Linked DNA regions of Coturnix japonica. The protein of the gene in region 2 binds, or shares a complex with, the protein of the main gene of each other region. Links are inferred from orthologs where the notes say so. Each region holds a gene or a part of one and is shown on either strand. Other genes may lie near its edges.

What was found.
Region 1: the proteins of TNNI2 (region 2) and TNNC2 are in contact, whole or in part, in a crystal structure (PDB 1A2X), measured with the Oryctolagus cuniculus proteins. The link is inferred for Coturnix japonica from reciprocal best matches to the Homo sapiens genes TNNI2 and TNNC2. Residues at the interface, in NP_001076252.1 of Oryctolagus cuniculus: Glu5, Asn8, Arg9, Ile11, Thr12, Arg14, Arg15, Gln16, His17, Leu18, Lys19, Ser20, Val21, Met22, Leu23, Ile25, Ala26, Glu29, Leu30, Glu33; in NP_001076114.1 of Oryctolagus cuniculus: Ser13, Glu15, Met16, Ala18, Glu19, Ala22, Lys91, Leu96, Glu98, Cys99, Arg101, Ile102, Phe103, Arg105, Ile119, Phe120, Ala122, Ser123, Glu125, His126, Val127, Glu131, Ser134, Leu135, Asp138, Phe152, Met155, Met156, Val159, Gln160.
Region 3: the proteins of TNNI2 (region 2) and TNNC1 are in contact, whole or in part, in an NMR structure (PDB 2MKP), measured with the Homo sapiens proteins. The link is inferred for Coturnix japonica from reciprocal best matches to the Homo sapiens genes TNNI2 and TNNC1. Residues at the interface, in NP_001139301.1 of Homo sapiens: Arg116, Met117, Ser118, Ala119, Asp120, Ala121, Met122, Leu123, Ala125, Leu126, Leu127, Lys130, His131, Lys132; in NP_003271.1 of Homo sapiens: Asn18, Glu19, Phe20, Ala22, Ala23, Ile26, Val44, Met45, Met47, Leu48, Gln50, Pro52, Glu56, Phe77, Met80, Met81, Cys84, Met85, Lys86, Asp87.

What each region holds. Positions count from the first base shown.
Region 1 is NC_029535.1:9,485,671-9,489,543, forward strand, and holds TNNC2 (troponin C, skeletal muscle), read right to left. Parts: upstream 2,432-3,873; 5' UTR 2,339-2,431; coding exon 2,327-2,338; intron 1,587-2,326; coding exon 1,535-1,586; intron 1,450-1,534; coding exon 1,306-1,449; intron 1,233-1,305; coding exon 1,118-1,232; intron 1,043-1,117; coding exon 906-1,042; intron 815-905; coding exon 783-814; 3' UTR 583-782; downstream 1-582. UniProt on the Homo sapiens protein: Troponin is the central regulatory protein of striated muscle contraction. Tn consists of three components: Tn-I which is the inhibitor of actomyosin ATPase, Tn-T which contains the binding site for tropomyosin and Tn-C.
Region 2 is NC_029520.1:10,463,781-10,466,016, reverse strand, and holds the end of TNNI2 (troponin I, fast skeletal muscle), read right to left. Parts: intron 2,146-2,236; coding exon 2,017-2,145; intron 1,606-2,016; coding exon 1,516-1,605; intron 1,399-1,515; coding exon 1,222-1,398; intron 896-1,221; coding exon 797-895; 3' UTR 589-796; downstream 1-588. UniProt on the Homo sapiens protein: Troponin I is the inhibitory subunit of troponin, the thin filament regulatory complex which confers calcium-sensitivity to striated muscle actomyosin ATPase activity.
Region 3 is NC_029527.1:240,751-244,941, forward strand, and holds the start of TNNC1 (troponin C, slow skeletal and cardiac muscles), read right to left. Parts: upstream 2,807-4,191; 5' UTR 2,725-2,806; coding exon 2,701-2,724; intron 1-2,700. UniProt on the Homo sapiens protein: Troponin is the central regulatory protein of striated muscle contraction. Tn consists of three components: Tn-I which is the inhibitor of actomyosin ATPase, Tn-T which contains the binding site for tropomyosin and Tn-C.

The DNA.
Region 1 (3,873 bases), on a different chromosome or scaffold from region 2:
CCTGTGAGCCCCGGCCCAGGGCACGTCCCAATCTTGGCACGCTTGTGGCTGTGCTCCTCCCCAGCTCCAGAGGCTGCACGGAGACACGGGTCCCCAGGGAGAGCTGGCACCAACCAGGCTGGCTTTTCAGCATTGCCTTAATCCCTGTGCAGAGGTGTGGCTGCTGTCTTGAGGTTTGGAGGGTTGGGAAGCAGTCCCCAACTTTTCGTGTCAGGATACCCCATCCTTTCAATCAGAAACCTAAGCAGTGCTTGGCCCCCTTCTCTCCCCCTTCCAAAATCCAGTGTGGTCACACATCCTGTGATGTGAGCAGGAGCAGCCTCCCAGTGCTGCCTTCTGGGACCCTGGGAGGAACAGGGCTGTGCTCCCTGCTGCTGCTGTCGTGGGAAGCGAGTGCTCCTGATGGAAACTCTGAGCTCAGCGCTGCCTGGCGCCCACCCAGCAGCCCATGGGAACCACTGCTCACACACTCACAGGTCAGCCCGGCTGGTACAGGGTATGGCACGGCATTGCACACACCCCCGTGTCCCCCTCCATGGGGTACAGTGCCACAGACCCCCCAGGCACTCCCATACTGGCAGCTCAGCCTTTCCCCCTTTTAATGAGGTTCATCCATAAACCACATCTGTCAGAGTCAAGGAAAAGCTCAGCCGCCAGCCGAGTGGCACGAGCTGCTGCAGGGCTCCAGCGGGTGGCAGCGAGGCCAGGCTCTGCGGCGGGGCCAGTCCTGGGCGGAGGAGCAGGGCTGGCTGCTGCAGGCGGCCCAAGGAATGTCTGATCCCTTACTGCACTCCCTCCATCATCTTCAGGAACTCTGCAAGAGAGCGGCGTTATCAGACCCAGCTGTGCCACACACGCAGCCCAAAGGGGCTGAGCAAGCTGCAGGGTGAGGTCCTGCCGCTCACCATCGAAGTCAATGCGACCATCATTGTTCTTGTCTGAATCCTTCATGAGATCTTCTATTTCCTCCTCGGTGACGTGCTCCCCGGTGGCCCTGAGAATCTCACCCAGCTCTTCGATGTCGATGAATCCATCAGCGTTCCTGTGGGAGAGGAAGGGCAGGATACGGCCCCGCTCACCACCACGGACGGGTGTCACCAGGCGCTGCCCCACTCACTTGTCAAAGATGCGGAAGCAGTTGGCCAGCTCCTCCTCTGACTTGCCCTTGGCGTCCTCTTTCATCTGGCGCACCATCATCACCAGGAACTCCTCGAAGTCGATGGTGCCGCTGCCTGTGGGGAGGGACCGTGATGTGGGTCAGGCTGAGCACTCCAGACACCCACCACCCCCATGGAGCCCACTCACCATCCTCGTCCACCTCCTCGATGATGGCGTCCAGCTCCTCCTTGGTGGGGTTTTGGCCCAGCATCCTCATCACTGTGCCCAACTCCTTGGTGCTGATGTCCCCACCACCGTCCGCATCAAACATATCGAAGGCAGCTTTGAACTCTGCAGGGAAGAGTGGTCAGTGCTGGGACACGGGCATTGGGACGGGCTCTGTGTTGGGATGGGGCCCTGTCCCCTCCCTGCTCACCAGCAATCATCTCTTCGCTGAGGAAGGCGCGGGCCTCCGCCTGCTGGTCTGTCTGTAAGGCACAGGGAGAAGGGGTCAGCTCCCACCCCATGCTGTGTGTCAGCACAGCCCCTGCCCAGGGTCAGCAGCGTATGGGGCTCTGCAGCAGCGTCTGGCACAGTGCAAAGCCTCAGCCTCCCTGGTGCAGCTGCAAAGCCTTCGTCCAGCTCAGCCCTGCAGCACGTGGCTGTTCCCTGAGTGACCCAAGGCCCCGGGCAGCCATGCAGCTCAACTGCCCTGAGCCCCATGCAGCCGCCCCCCGGTGGTCCATGACGCAGAGGCCGCCATGCTGCCTTGGCATCCCAAGCACCCGACACTATTTTTGGACTCTCCTCGACTCCCCTTATAGGGAGCAGAGCTCAGCGGGCACCTGTTTGCCCTGGATCGAGTTTCTCCTGGAGGCGCGGGCTGTCTGGGGCCGCAGAGGTGTCGCATGACCCAGCGCTCGGCTTTCAGCGCCTTCACACAGCCCAGCTCCAGCTCTGATCGCCCCATGCACCCATTAATTACCCCCAGCCAGCCGCACACTCCCTCTTTGGGGCACATCTTATAGGGGTACACATCCCATAGGGGGACATACGCCATGGGGAACGTATCCCACTGCCCCTACATCCATGCTACCTCCTGCCATAGCCAGCCTGAAGGGATCATCCCTCTGCCATCGCCCCATAGAGGTGCCTGGCAGCCCCACACCGCGGTGCCCAACACCTCCGGCCCAACCACAGCTCAACCCAGCACCACTGGAGCTCTTACCATTGACGCCATCTTTGCTGCTCTCTTCCTGCAGGGAGTCAGCACCTCCTGCACCAGCAGCCCCCGCACACTCCCTGGCTCCCCAATTTGTAGTGTCCCCGTGCCCCCAGCCGTTGGCCCCCAGCCCCAGCAGCCTATCAGCTCCCTGGTGGAAATCCGGCCCCGCTCATTGGCAACGGGCTCATTTTACCTAATTTAGCCAAAGCGTTATTGGCCAAGAGCAGGGGATTAAACGTGGGTCTGAAGCCGGGATAGAAATTCAAGCCCTGCAGGGAGGGACGCAGCATCTTGGCAGGAGTGCGGCTCCTTCATCTACACCTCCTTGTTCCAGGACAGCTCAGCATGGAGGGGGTTAAAAATAGCCCCAAAGAGCAGCATCCCCAACACCAGGACTGGGCTTCCCCCATGCCAGGCATTAGGGACAGGGCTGGGTAGTGCTGCCTGAACCTCTGCTAACCCAGGTGCCGCGGCTTGGGACAAGCAGGCAGCACTGGGGCCACGTCCCATCCCTTACCCCACAGCACCCCAGTTACTCTGGCTGTGCCCAAACCATCAGTCCCTCCTTTCACTCCTTTCTGTCCTAGAGAGGTCAAGGCGAAGCTGCAGCCCTCAGACCATCACTGTGAGCTGCAGGTGGGTGAGGAGCGTGGCCCTGCAGTGGGTCCTGGCACTGCTGTGGGTTCCCACTCTGCTGGCAGCCACTACCAGAAATGGCACGGCTGCTCCGTGACTTGGGGAGTGGGAACGATGCCCGTGGCCTCCTCAAAGGCTGCGGCTCTGCCAGGTCCGTGGCCCTGGGTCTGGCTGGCCAAGTGGCCCACAGCCTGCAGCTCTCCAAAAGGGTTTTGTGGCTGCAGAAGGGCTGTCGGTCCCTCGGGACCCTCTGCTGGGGCAGCTCTGCTGGCACCCCATGGATGGGGCAGCACAGCACAGCAAGGAGCAAGGACAGAGTGATGGCAGCAGCTGGACCATTCCTCGATATTAATAGACATTCCCAAGAAAGCAGCGAGGACAGAGCGGGGATGGTGCTAAATAAGGGCGGTGAGTGCCAGGCAGCGGCCATGGCTGCAGCCCAGGAGCAGGAGCGTGTGGCGAGGCTGGGGATGGCAGGGTGCCGGCTGAGGGTGCCGGGTGCCGGGATGTGGCGGTGTTGGGGCGCTGCGCTGTTGGGGTACCGAGGTGTCAGGGTGCCGGGGCACCGGAGGTTGGGGACCATCATGGAGCGGTGCCCGGGGATCGGTCACGGGCTGTGCGTGCACAGACGGAGCCGGACCGCGCCGAGCCGCGCTGCGCCGTGCCGGGACGTGACAGCCCCGCCGCGATCCGGGTTCCCAGCGGAGGCGGAGCCGCGCAGGGAGGATCCCGGGACGAGCAGCGGCGGAGCGGCCATCGCTCGGCACCGCCCGGAGCGGCCCGGCACAGCGCGGTACGGTACGGAGAGCAGCGCCCACAGCGGCAGCGGGGCTGAGCGGGGGGAGCGGGGTTGAGGGTGGGCGCGGGTCGGGGGGGCCGGAGGGAGCCGGCCGGGAGCGGGGCCGTCCCGATGC
Region 2 (2,236 bases):
GCATGTTGGCCCGGGAAGGGTGCCCAGGGAAGAGGTTTGGATGGGGACAGCTTCTGTCTGCTCAGACTGTGACCTTTGCAGCAGGTCTCAGTCCAGAGAGAGAAGGCAGAAAGGTGCTCCCTGCTCTGGGCCAGGTGAAGGATGTGGAGAGGAGACACAGAACAGCATGATGGGCACAAACCCTGATGCAATGACCAGTCGGAGCCACCTCCTGACCCACAGACTCCTGCCCAAAAAAGAAGCAGAAGCAGGAGGAGGTAGAGCAGCCGACAGCACTGTGGCATGACCTCACCCATTTCCTTCCTCTGGCAGATGGTTCCTTACCACCCCCCAAACGCCATCCCCCCACTCTGTTCACCCTGGTAGCTCCTGAAGTGCAGTAGCTCCTGTGATGGGAGACACAGGCTATGAGTCAGAGAATGGATCTCCAGCTTAAAAGAGAGGCCTTTCCACCCCATGACAAGATGGAGGCCAAGAGAGAGGAAGGCAAGGAAACCCCCCCCCAAGCAGCCTGCCAATGGAGATGGGTATCCTTAGTGTGTTCCCACAGCCCTAAGCACCCTCAGCCCCACCACAGCAGGCCACATCCCCCTCTCCCATGAAAGCTTTATTTACACTGCTGCTTTCAGACTGCAGCTCTTCACAAAACCAGAGAAACAGCACCCAGTCAGTGGGTTCAATGCATGGTGAGGACGTGTTGAGGTTCAGGGCAGGGACGTGGCCATGCTCACAGCTGTGGCCATGCTCAGGAGGGGATGGAAGAGGGTGGAAATGGCAAGAGTGGAGAGACCAGTGCTTAGGACTCGCCAGCCTCAAACATCTTCTTCCTGCCCTCCATGCCGGATTTCTCCTCAATGTTCTTCCTCCAGTCACCCACATCACGGAGGTCCTTCTCCTGCAGAAGGGATAAGTGTGCATGACGAGGTGAACCCATGGGGTACTGACCCACCCAAACAGTGCCCTTTTACCCATCCACCTATGGGAACCTTACTTCAAATGCTCAACACTTCACCTCCCCTGGAAAACTTAGCTAGGGACTCCCAGTTTCACCCCTGCTGTATGTTTTTCAGGGCTGGACTCCGTGTTTACAACTACATGAGAGTTGGAGGAGAAAACATGAGGCAGGAAGGACATTACTGAGATAAGCTCATGGTCTGCCTGCAGGGAGATGTCATCCCCAAAAGTTGGAAGCTTATGCCTTAATGGGAGTGAAAGTGGTACCTTCTCTGTGTCCTCCTTCTTGACTTGCTTCAGGTTGGCCCGGAGGTCCATGTTGACTTTGTGCTTGGAGCCCAGCAGAGCCCTCAGCATGGCATCAGCTGACACACGGACCCTCCGCAGGGGTGGCCTCTTGAACTTGCCCCTCAGGTCAAACAGCTTCTGGCTCAGGTCCTCCAGCTGTTGGCAAGAGAGAAGTGGGCAGAAAGAGCAGGGCGTGAGTTTCATGAGAGAGACCATGCACAAGCAGCATGGAGAGGAACAAAGGATGAGCCAGATGCTCCAGTGCATGCTCACCTCCTTGTTAGTCTTCTGTAGCTTCACCTCTGTGTCATACCTTTCCTCATCCACTGAATCTATCTTGGCATGAAGCTTTTTGCACAGTTCCTGGGAGGAAAAGTAGACGGATGTTGAATAATAGAGCACGCCAGGAAATTCCTCTCTCCTGACCACTTCCTTCTCCTCTATCTCTGAAAGACCCCTATACCTCTCTTAATCCCAAAGGCTGAAGAAGGATCAGACCACCACTCAATACCAGACAACTGCAGACTATGAAAGGTATTTTGCAACCCAGCTTCTGGTCTTTGTGCACCCACCTTCACACAAATGCTGCCCTCATATCCTTGTACTGCCAGTCACCACCCAACACACCCCAGAGGTGCCAGTCCCTGTCTCTGCCTCCATGGTGAAGAGAGGCCCCCAGGGACAGGAAATGGTCAAGATGGGAAGGACAATGTAAATGCAGCAGGCTGAGTAGTGGAGCCTAATACTTTCTGAAAGGGCTAAAGCAGCTCTTACCTGAAGTTCCTGCATGGATCCTGGGAGGGACAGAGGAGGGCAATGCTCTGCCAGGTAGTTTTGCTTTTCCACTTCTTTAGCAGCTGCTTCTTTTTCTATTTCAGTGACAGCAAGCTGGAGCATAGCACTCTGGAAAGCAGCAGGAGGGAGATCAACATGGGTTCGGGGCAAAGGAGAAGATGGGAGCTCTCCATGTCCAAAATACCAGCAGCTCTGAGCA
Region 3 (4,191 bases), on a different chromosome or scaffold from region 2:
GGTCAGTGTATCACCTCAGTGCAATGGGGACATGCCACAGACAGGTTATGGTGCATGAGGAGCAGCAGGCTGCAGTCACCGTCATTCCCTGAACCTGGGCACTGGAACTGGAAGCAAACTGAGGCAGATGGGAGCAGCTGGAAGAAATGGTCCCTGCAGCCGCCCAGAGCTGGATGAGTTGAGCTGGCAGACTGCTCCCAAGTCCTACCCAGCTCATCTACCCACTCCTACCCCTGCCATCCACCGGTGGGAGCTTATCAATTAGCAGCAATTAATGACAATTGATGAGGAGAGCAAAGAGGAATCCACCAGAACCTCCTGGAGTGAATTTCTTTCGGATCCCCTTGGAGCACACCGCCATGCCATGGGCTTTGTCAGTGCCCCAGCGCTGCATCCACCTGTCCCTTCAGTAACATCCCTTACAATTACATGCTCCTCCCACGCTGTCTCTGACACCCCCACACCCACTCCCACCGTGTTTGGGTTGAAGCAGAACCCCTCAGCCCAGCAGTACTCTGTCTTGGAGGCGAGGCCGATGGTTTTCCACCCAAAAAGCAGTGATTTGGCAAACAACAACTTGGAAAGCAGGGAAAGTGCTTTATCTTAGCAGGAACTGGGAAGGGAGCAGCACTGAGCTCCCTGTGGAGCCTTTGTGGGGTGAGAAGCAAAAGCAGCAGGAAGAACCCCAAGCCCTGAGCAGGCATCATTTGGGCAGCTCAGCCGATGGCCACAGTCCATTGGGTAACCTGACCCCCTGGCAGCGTTCGCTATTAATAAGCCCTGATGAGGGAGGTGCCGGAGATAAAGATGAGCCCTGTGATTGTTCCCAGGCCTTTGGTATGCGGCCCCGCAGCCTGTTATTCTGACACTTGTCCCTGGCAACACTCTGCACCGCTCAACAGAACTGAAAAATGCTCCTGAAATAGCTTTGTGCCTGCACACCCTTATCTAGACATGAGTGGGTGAGACAAAGGCCCACTGGGTTCTGCGGCTGCACCGAGGGAATTCGACATGGATATAATGTTGGTATATACCCCTGTAGGTTTGCTGCCATCAATATACGCAGCAAATAACAAATCCTTACTTCCAAGGCTTTTCTAACTACTGCATGTTGGCTTTGTACAGCACTATGGATGTGGAGCTGTGCTGGATGGAACCGAACCACACAGCGATGCTTTTACTACACGGCTTTTCCCAAGCTGTTTATTGTGCCCCTGGTCACAGACACAGTTCACAGCTTTCTCCTTTTTTCTCCTCTGCCTCCAGCCTGGGAATGGTTTGTCCTGCTGCGCTCTGGGAAGGCAGACACCCAGCACACAGGATTTTGCTTTTTCTGCTCTTTTCTCCATCCCATATTTCCATTTGAAGTCAGGCACGAAAAGTTTCAGATCTTATTTATTTATTTTGCCAGATATTTTCCTACAGTTAAAATCTCGGGAACAGACTCATGAAGCAGCTATCAATTACAGCCATGTTCTGCCTCTTCTCCTTTTGCTTTTGCGCTGGCAGCTCCCTGTCAGAGCCCACCAACTTATTCCTCAGGTCAAGGACACTGCTTGGGCTATCAGATGGAGGAGGCTCGGGTTGAAACCTACAGGCTTCAGCTAGAGATGACCTTCACTGTGGATTTTTGCTCACTTTGGGGTGGAAAGGCACCCCAGGCTTTCTTCATAATTAATGCATGAAGTCCCTAAACAGTACAGCAAGGACCTGCTCCATGAGGGAACATAACTAGCTAAAAAGCTTCATTATACGGGCTGGATTTCCACTGATCTTACAGGGCGCACTCTTGTCCCTTCCTCATGCTCCTCGGGGCACTCAGCACGTCGTCATGCGCTTCCCAGCCCATCCCTCACATGTTGTCCGGATCCCGGGAGGGGTCACAGCTATAAGGGCTGACCAGGGAACAGGGAGAGCTGCCAACATCTCGTTTCCCTCCATTTTGTTTAACTAAGCAAAGTCCTTTATTCCCTCTGAACCTCTTGGAGTTGTCATTGCAGGACGTATTTTTCAACCCGGTCAACTCTATGTTAAAAACAACTAAAAAGAGTCACCCTTCAGTTCTTACGGTGTATTTTAACTCCGGGCACACAGCAGCGATTCACACAGAATCTATTTCCATCCCCATCACACCCGCATATCGCTCTGTCTAAATTACAGAATGATGCGCTGAGCTTATTATGGACCGGAGCGTTCCGGGTGCGCGGGGCAGCGCTGCGCGCAGCTGCCGGATGCTCCGCATTCCCAGAGAGCCCGAGTCCCAGCCCGGATTCCTGCGGGCAGCGGAGGGACCAGGCAGAAACACGGCACAAAGCAGAGAGTTGAAAAGTCTCATCGAAAAACACTCAGCTGAGGAAGGGGGGATTTAAGCAACGGCGCTTATGATTTTAAAGCTCCGGTAGCGACAGGGTGAGGTTGAACTCTCGCTAATCCCCTTTCAGCCGTGCAAATCAATCATTCTGTAACCCACGCGAATCACGTTCGCTCCGTGGGACGCGGTGCCGTGCCGGGATGTGCCCGCAGCCGGCAGCCGCCGCTTCCACCCCGCCGTGTTCGGACACGGCAGCGCCGGGACGTTCACGCAGACGAGGGGACTCGACTCCAGCCGAGCCGCCCGCCGGCGTCCCGTAACCCGGCCCCGGTGCCGGCAGCTCCTCGTCCCCTTCCTCCCCAGCATCCCGGCCCCGGGCGGGCACTCACCGCCGCCTTATAGATGTCATCCATGTCTGGGCAGGGAGAGCGAAGGGCCGGGGGGCGTCACTGACACGCTGTGCCGCCGCCGCCCCGCCGGCCCCACTGATATAGGGGGCAGCGGCCGGTGACGGGATGCGCCAGCCCACCACGGCCCGGCCCCGCACAGCGCCTCGCCGCGTGCCCGGGCTGCGTGGCACCGTGCCGCATCGCCACGGGCCGCTTGGCCGCGCTGAATAACGCAGGTCAGACGGAGCCCGACCGCTGCCCCGGGGGTCGGGGACCACGAAGTTGGAGGAGCCGGGGGAAACGCGCGGCACCGGGCAGGGGCAAACCGGGAGCATCCAACCGGGAGCATCCCCCGAGCATTGAGGGTCCGGCCGGGGCTGCGAACGGCTCCGGGTTGCTGCCAGGCGCTGCTCGCTGGGCTGGATTCCCGTCCTCCTGGAAGCGGCGAGTTGCGGCCCGGCCCCGCGCGGATGGAGCAGCCCACGATCGGAGCCGGCGGCGCTTCGACCCCAGCGACAAGCGGCTGTTCGGGGCAGGGAGATGCACCAACACCGGAGCGGCGCGGGCGGGCAGCGCTCCTGGGGGTGCAGCGCTCCCTCTGGTGGACTCGGTGTTGCTGGCAGCACAGCCGCACGGATGGGGGCAGCTCTGGGCTTCAACTCCGCAAATAAAAGCCATTGTCGGCTGAAGAAATCAGGCTGCGAGCCGGAATTTGGCCGAACCCGCTGAGCACCCGGCAGCGGCGGCCGGAGCCACGGTGGGTTTGTGCACCCGCCCAATGATGTGCAGCAGAGGCTGCAATGGAGCAATGTCTGCAATGTCTGCGGGCACCGCCGGGCTGCGCCGACCTTTGGGACGGGGATTGTTCAGTGCTTCGGTGACACAGCGGGGGCACAAAGGCCGCTGCATCCCCGCAGCCCGGCTGACAGCACCAGCGCCCAGAAACTTGGTGCCCATGTAGCCTGCACAGCGCTGCACTGCACGGCTCAGTACTACACTGCACAGTGCTGCGTTAGCACTACACTGCACGGCTCCGTACTGCTCAGCACGGCGCCGTGTTGCATTACTGTGCTGCACCGCATTACTGTGCTGCACCGCATTACTGTGCTGCACCGCTTTACTGTGCTGCACCGCTTACTGTGCTGCACCGCATTACTGTGCTGCCACCGCATTACTGTGCTGCACCGCATTACTGATGCTGCACTTTCGCTTTACTGTGCTGCGCACCGCTTTAACTGTGCTGCACCGCATTACTGTGCTTGCATCCGAGCAATTAGCTCGTGCCTTGCACCGCTTTTCCTGTGCTGCATCCGTCAATTAACTGTGCTGCACCGCATTACTGTGCTGCACTGCTTTACTGTGCTGCACCGCATTACTGTGCTGCACCGCATTACTGTGCTGCACTGCTTTTACTGGCTGAGCCGCATTACTGTGCTGTCACCGCTTATGTGACGTTTCGTGCTGCACTGCTATTACTGTGCTGCACGCTCG